Linked DNA regions of Coturnix japonica. The protein of the gene in region 1 interacts with the protein of each later gene in a biochemical or structural test. Links are inferred from orthologs where the notes say so. Each region holds a gene or a part of one and is shown in the gene's direction. Other genes may lie near its edges.

Evidence for each region.
Region 2: the proteins of TLE4 (region 1) and PAX5 form a complex in vitro, tested with the Homo sapiens proteins (2 studies listed by BioGRID). The link is inferred for Coturnix japonica from reciprocal best matches to the Homo sapiens genes TLE4 and PAX5.

Annotation. Positions count from the first base shown.
Region 1 is NC_029547.1:34,838,273-34,842,093, forward strand, and holds part of TLE4 (transducin-like enhancer protein 4), read left to right. Parts: intron 1-704; coding exon 705-954; intron 955-2,053; coding exon 2,054-2,301; intron 2,302-3,234; coding exon 3,235-3,382; intron 3,383-3,821. UniProt on the Homo sapiens protein: Transcriptional corepressor that binds to a number of transcription factors. Inhibits the transcriptional activation mediated by PAX5, and by CTNNB1 and TCF family members in Wnt signaling.
Region 2 is NC_029547.1:66,885,248-66,889,068, forward strand, and holds part of PAX5 (paired box protein Pax-5), read left to right. Parts: intron 1-1,800; coding exon 1,801-1,998; intron 1,999-3,821. UniProt on the Homo sapiens protein: Transcription factor that plays an essential role in commitment of lymphoid progenitors to the B-lymphocyte lineage. Fulfills a dual role by repressing B-lineage inappropriate genes and simultaneously activating B-lineage-specific genes.

The DNA of each region.
Region 1 (3,821 bases):
AGTGAGAGTCCTAATTCTGGCAAGAGAAATTGGGATTTGTAGTTGTTGTGTCAGCTTCACAGAAAAAAAAAAAAAAAAAGGAAAAGAAAAAGAAGTCAAACGCAAAAGAAGGAAGAAAATCTCAGAGCATTTTAACTGGTCTGTCATGTCAGATGTCAGCAAGCGTACCTGGGGGCTTAACCCCTACCTGGTGGTGGTTTCACTGCTCTGGTAACACACTGCATGGGACCTGTGGTGTGTCTGAGGCAACTGGGCAGTGATCCAGCTAAAGTCCACGTTAGAGCTAGTGTGGGAGCAACAAAATGTCCTTTGGCACTCAGCTACTGCCAGGGCTCTAGTGCAACTGGCTAGCTATTTCTGTCTTCCAATGGGCCCTGACTTGACCTTCCTTCCCTTCTCTGCAGAGGCGGTGGTCTCCCCATGCATTGTTGTGTTAAGTATCTCACCAGAAACCAGCTCATTTGATTGATAGATCGTCCTTGTCTCATACATTAAGAGTACCAGTATATAAGCTTTAAGCATCTATATTAAGGTTTTCAAATAATTTCTTCTTTACATTATAGAAAAAAGGTTTTAAAAGGAGCTAAGTGAGCAGTTTGAATGCCCATAGTGGAGACAAATACATAATTATGTTTTCTAAAATAGGCTTGAAGAAAAACTTCATCAGTATTTGTCCTTTTACCTCTATGTTTCTCTCTTCTTAGGGCATACTCATTTCATGTAAGTGCAGATGGCCAAATGCAGCCTGTTCCTTTCCCTCCCGATGCCCTCATTGGTCCGGGAATCCCTCGCCATGCCCGTCAGATCAACACTCTGAACCATGGGGAAGTTGTGTGTGCAGTTACCATCAGCAACCCCACAAGACATGTGTACACGGGTGGCAAGGGGTGCGTCAAAGTCTGGGATATCAGCCACCCTGGCAACAAGAGCCCTGTCTCTCAGCTCGACTGCCTGGTAAGTGAATGGTAGCTTATGATGATAAGAAAAAGACAGCAGGTTGTGTCAAGATTGAAATTATACTGTTAAGGTAAAAAAAAAACATAACAAACAAACAAAAAACAGTGGCTATTTGAGTGCTATCATTGGTATCAAAGCTTGATATTTTATTTTTAATGTTGTTTCTTTTAGAATAAAGTTTGAAGTGTGTTCCTTGTAATACTTGTGTTGTTTTCCCCAAAGTGAATCAAAACATCTTTAATATCCTAAAATGGTATTGGTAGGGGAAAAGATCAAAGACAGTACAGCAGATATTGTTTATAAACTTTGACATTTGTTGGCAGTGTTAAAGCTTGATAGCCCATCATGCTAAAAATTCCTTTCTTGCAGCTGTATCCTCAGAGAATATTGAAGATAGTCATGTATTTTGCGTCTGTGTATGTGTGTGAATGCTTTGCCCTGTCTTAATGTGACAATTAAAAATATCCCAGAGTGTTATTCACAAATTATTTGAATGTGCTAACAAGATGAACCATTGTTAGCTGTATTTCTCATGTCATTTACCAGTTCTTGGTAAGATGTTGCATCTTGTTACAAAGGTAGTAAAATGAGAACAGTGCAGCACTTGTAGACATATAATGAATTGCTACACAAATCGCTACACAAATGAAGAAAATTGCCCAAATATTTTTCTCTGACATTTCCTAGATGGTGGCAGTAAGTCTCACTGGAGCAGAGCAGGGGGATGTGCAGGGAATTTGGTACTCTCCCATGCCGAGAGGTTAATGTGATGAAATAAACTGCATATGAAAATGTAACTTTCTACACAAGCTGTTGAATACAGCTGTCTTGAATTGTTTGGAATTGGGTTCAAGTCTTCACATTTTGATGCTAATTAAGATTAAATATCTCTCACTACTGAATTTTGTAGATCAAGTTTAAGTACTTCCCTAATGTCATGTAATTTTCTGGCATTAATATACTTTATCATTGTCATAACTATAAATGGCTCATTAAAACCAGGAGGGAATACAATACTTTTATGGATTTCTGCTCTCATGTTAATGCTGTTTTCCTTTCCTCATGAGTAATTTCTAGATGGCTTCTGTCTCCACAGAACAGAGATAACTACATCCGTTCCTGCAGATTGCTCCCTGACGGCCGCACCCTGATTGTTGGTGGAGAAGCCAGCACGTTATCCATTTGGGACCTGGCAGCTCCAACTCCACGCATTAAAGCAGAGCTGACATCTTCTGCTCCAGCTTGCTATGCCCTGGCTATCAGCCCTGATTCCAAGGTCTGCTTTTCCTGCTGTAGTGATGGGAATATTGCAGTGTGGGATCTGCATAACCAGACTTTGGTAAGGTAGGTCGACAGAACCAGATCACCGGGTTGTGAAGAATTAATTAGACATAGCCTTACATGCTCTTGTGCATACATGCACTCTTTTCTTCATGGTGTCAGCATAGCTGCTCTCGCTATTTCATTACTAGGCAATAACTATGGTAATACTTTGACTGAAGTCTATTTAATTGTTTGTGGGTTTTGAGAGTTTCATAATTCCAAGCCTGCCAAACTGCTCCATAACTGTTAATAGCTTGAGATAACTTGGTGCTGAAATTGCTGTAGGTTCTTGGAACAGAAGTATTCTGTGTTCACACTCCAATCTCTTTAATTAGTGTTGTAGCAAATACATCTGCAAATATGTTTCAGATACAAATATGTGTAAATCTCTGCATTGCACGCCTCAACTTCGTAGGAGTTGGGGTTGATGTTCACTGCTAATGAACAATAAGGTAGTTAGGAGCCACTTGTACAGACATTCTTCATACTCTGCACTGCGTACGTGTTGTTCTGAAATGTACTGTTTAAATATTGCACACAAAGGCCTGCCTGTTACCCTCTAATGCGCCCATTGGGACTGCTTTAAAAAAACAAAACAGCATCATTGTCCTTCATATTCTTCTTAATGCAGTCATGCAGCATTCTTTCAGGAGCATGTGGCATATCCCGTCAAAATGTGGGTGTTAAATAGTCAGCAGCAAGTGTCCTCAGAATATTTAATTCATGAAGAATGCTTCACAAAATCAAATTAACACTTGGCTGTATGGCATGATTAATTGCGCCATCAGTTCATCACAAAACTCAGATGGTCGTCCCAGGGCTGAGATTAATCTTAGATTTCCATGGCACTTTACCTTTAACGATAGTTTCAGAGAAATTAGTTGTTTTGAGTAAATAATCAGAACTGGTTATTTCTGGTATGAGAATGTGTGAATCTTCCTTTGATATTTTCAGACAATTTCAGGGTCACACAGACGGAGCCAGCTGCATTGACATTTCTAATGATGGCACCAAGCTTTGGACAGGAGGCTTGGACAATACGGTCAGATCCTGGGACCTCAGAGAAGGGAGACAGCTACAGCAACATGACTTCACATCACAGGTGCAATCTTCGCAGCTTCAGCATGTTCAGAAAAAATTTGTCATGGTTTTCTAAAACAAACCTTTTCTATAAAATGTTAATAATAATAATGGAGAAAAAAATGTATTCAAAAACACTACAAATAATCTTTCATTTAGACTTACGCTCTTTTTTTTTTTTTTTTTTTTTTTTTTAATGTGTGCCAGCTAAGCATCTTTCTGGATTATTTCTGTTTGACCGATTAGTACTTCTCCCATGAAAGCGGTGGAGAATCCTTTTTATAAAAGCATTGCCAGATTAAATTGTTTCTGAGTGCAATCTGCTCCCATTCCTGTTGATCCTTGTTACAAAAAATATTTTACAAAAATACTTTTAAATGCTGTCAGATAAGCTAGGACATTAAATTTTATAGCTTGATTCAGTGCTTTGCTATTGTGGTTTTAATTGAGCTTTGTTTACA
Region 2 (3,821 bases), about 32 Mb from region 1:
GCGTTCTGCTCCACCAGTGTGCACTGTGCAGCTTTTCTCCATGTCCTTTCTTAGCACAGAGGTGCCTCCAGGACAGGAGATGAAACCAGGGATGCAAGGCTTAGGGAGGTTTGTTGTTGAAGTGTACCATCGTTACATGGTCCTCTGGAAACTATAAGGGAGGGCAGCTTCATTGTACTCCTGATGCACTGATGCTTTTTGCTGGGCTGGGTTTAGGAATGCCCCAAGGGTTATGTGTCTTTGACACTTAAAGCTGCCTGAATGGCTGCTGAGACCGAGTCTGCATCTGCACCCAGGAAGCCTGAAAACATGCACAAACGCTGCAGTGCCAGCACTGTGCACACAGAGCTCTCCCTGAAAGACAGAGCCAGCAGCCTGGCAGAAATCTGATGAGCGCTGCTGCATGTTACAGTCAGACAGACTTTGGCTGCCATGCTGGAAATACTTCAGAATTTATTATTGTTATCATCATTATTTTGGATATAATGGTTATGTCAAGTAACTGCAGAGAAAACGCACAGATTAAAAGGAAAACAACAAAACAACTGTTGTTCTTATCTGAGAGTCTTTTTTGAGCTCCCCTTACGAGAAGTACAGGCACACAGCGATCAGTGGGTGAGTCAAGGCCGTAAGGGAGCACAGCTCTGTGGTCGCGGGATGAGAGCTGAGCTGAGCGTGGCCTGTTTGGAAGGGGAGGTTTGGACAATGGCTGCAGTGGCTGCAGATTTGTGCTTCATCAACAAAATTCACAGGACGCCAAAAAGTGCACGGCCCCGAGAACGTGGTGCGTGTCGGTGCTCTACGGGTTCTCAGCGTGATTTCGCTCATCGTCTCCCTCCTGCTCCTCAGTGGATGAGACATGATATTTTTAACAGCATTTTCAAGGCTTTCCCTATTGAAAGAGTGAGATGTGTGGGGCTGAGGATCTCAACCGCCACGCTTTGCTGCAATCCTACTAAAAGCAGTTGTGCCTGCGTGATTTACATGCAAAAAAATATTAATAAAAAAAAAATACATCTGGCACGTTTTGGTCAGTGTAAGGACTCCATCCTTACGCTCCATCCTACCTGCTCTGCTTGTATGACATTGGCAGAACTGCTTGCACAAGTAGAGATTGTGTCTGTGAGGAAGGATTGCAGAGCTGGTCAGAAAAACAAACCCCCAAACAAGCCGAGCCCTCTGGGAACACCAACAGCTCCCCTTCCCTTAACATTTCTCATTTGCACAATTGAAAGCATCATATTAAAAATATATCCATTATGAAAAACATTAACTATTAAAGCAGTAGCATGCGTTCTAAAACAATAAAACGGGGAAAAAGATATGCCAGCGTATTAATTGTTAATGTGCAAATGAAAGATGACTTCACGCCCTTGCGTTGCGATGAAATGCTAACAAGTTGTAGGTGTTGATGGCAGAGCATTTCCTTAGATATGAGAATTTGCTGCAAAAAGTGGTCTTGAGTGAGATTTGTTTCTATTATTGCCAGAACCTCTGATTAATTACACACATTTTCAGTTAATTTTGGACGCCAGCATGCCCTTTAATCTTGCATTGTTTCTTTTGTCTTTCTCTTATGAAAAAATATCTGTTCTATCCTACGGCCCAGTTCCAATTACTATAAGTTAATCTATTAGGTGATAAAGCGCTACATGGGCAGAAAGTGTGTATGTGAAAGTGAAGATGTATCTTAGGATTTGCTGGGGTTTGGTTACCTTGAAATTATGTTCTCTATGAATCTCGAAGCATGCCCTCTGCCTGCCTGTGATAACTGAAGATTTGCTTTGGATGTTGTCCCAGGTATTATGAAACCGGGAGCATTAAGCCTGGAGTGATTGGAGGATCAAAACCAAAGGTCGCCACACCCAAAGTTGTCGAAAAAATCGCAGAGTACAAACGCCAAAATCCCACCATGTTTGCCTGGGAGATCAGGGATAGACTCCTCGCCGAGCGGGTGTGTGATAATGACACCGTGCCCAGCGTCAGTTCCATTAACAGGTAAAGATCTGTACGGTCTCGGGAAGGGGCTTTTGCAGCAAATGTGGTCACTGAATCCTCATTTGCTTGTAGAAGCGAGGGTGAGTTGTATTGTCTATTCAAAATGCATTCTGTGCGCGTTTAAACGCCATGTTTTGGGTTTTGGAGCAGCTGTGGGGTTGCTCCGGTGGTGAAAGTGCCACTACCATCAGCGTTTCCCAGGAGCAGGCAGGTTGTGCTATTGGCCTTTGCTTCTTTCCTGCACTTTCCCATTCTCCCGTCCGTGATTTGCAATTCTTGCTGGGAAAGAGCTGTACTTGCTGGATCACACTCAATGGGAAATGCCTCCACTCGGAGAAGGCTGAGGCTGCAGCTGCGTTGGGTGGTGGCGGTGACCTGGAGGCCATGTCTGGCAGCCATGTTCCTAGAGAAGTGGACCCAAATCATGGCTCCCAAGGTCTTTATTTCACCTACTCATTACTGCTGAACTTGGCTCTGAATCACACTGGCCGCTGTCACTGTCAGCATGAATACAAACAGGGAAATGTGGTTTAATAGTGTCCACGTGTTAAATGGAATTGTTTGAGCGGCCTTGAATTCCTTTGTGTCAGCGCAGGAAAATCTCATTTCTCATCTTCTTCCCATGCTTGTGAGTTCTTTCCTGGCATGGCTAGGCAACACTGTGCTCACATGCGGTCCTGAAGCTATGCTAACCTGCTTCTATCTCAGTCAACAACTGTCTAAGGCTAACATTGAAAAAGCACAGAGAAATGCTCTGTATTGTCTCCAGTCTTCCTGGTCTGATGATAAGGGATTAACACTTGGATGGAGAGCACTTCAGCAACCCCCCCCATACACCAGCAAACAGAGTTTGTTCATTTTCTCTTGGGAGTATGTTCCTTACCAAGTTTTGGCTTCATTGCTCTTCTGAGATATTTCTCAGTTACATGATTTCATGCAAATTCTTTGAGTCCAGCTAGCTCTGAAGTCCCACCTGTGTCCATGGACACGAAACAGACTGATGCAGTGTTCTTTCGTCGGCTATCCTGACCTGTTTTGCATTCATGGAGTTCCTGCTTGAGCAGCAGGAGTGGCTTCCCCAGCAGCAGTGCAGAAAGAAGCATCACAGGGGAGATGCTCCAGGCCCTTTATCATCTTGGTGGCTGGACTCTCTGCAGGAGATCCCTGTCTGTTTTGTACCAGGGAGCCCAGAAGTGGATACAGTGCACGAAGTGAGGCCAGATCGGGGCAGAGAAGAGGAGGAGGATCACCCCCTTCCCCTGCTGGCCACGCTCTTTTTAATGCACCCCAGGATCCCATCGGCCTTCTTGGCCACCAGGTCACACTGCTGTTCACCGGGACACCCAGGGACGTGGCATTTTCAGCTCAAAAAACAATTTGAGGCATGGTATGGTCACCATGAAATGGGAAGGAAAATCCCACTCTGGCTGTTTGGAGATAACCAAGGGCAAACCTGGGCTCAGTGATCCTTGTGGGTGCCTTCCAACACAGCATATTCTGTAGTTCTGTGGTTCTATGAATCTTTGTTTCCATAAAAGTCAGCTCAGGTCCCATTGTGTCAGAAACAAGGCTGCTGCTCTGAGAAGTACTTTGTTTATGTAGCGAGTCTTCAAGCTTTGTCCAACAACCCACCCAAAAAGCAGTGGTAGCTTGGGAATGCAGTGGGACTGCATACGTTCCAGTTGTATTTTGATCCATTTTCTGTAGTCCTTGAATGTTTCTATGTTGGCAACGTCCACACTCTCACTGACACTGCACCAGAAATCATGATTAATGATCTACTGCCAAGTTATTTGGGTGGAAATCTTTCTTTCTTTCTCATC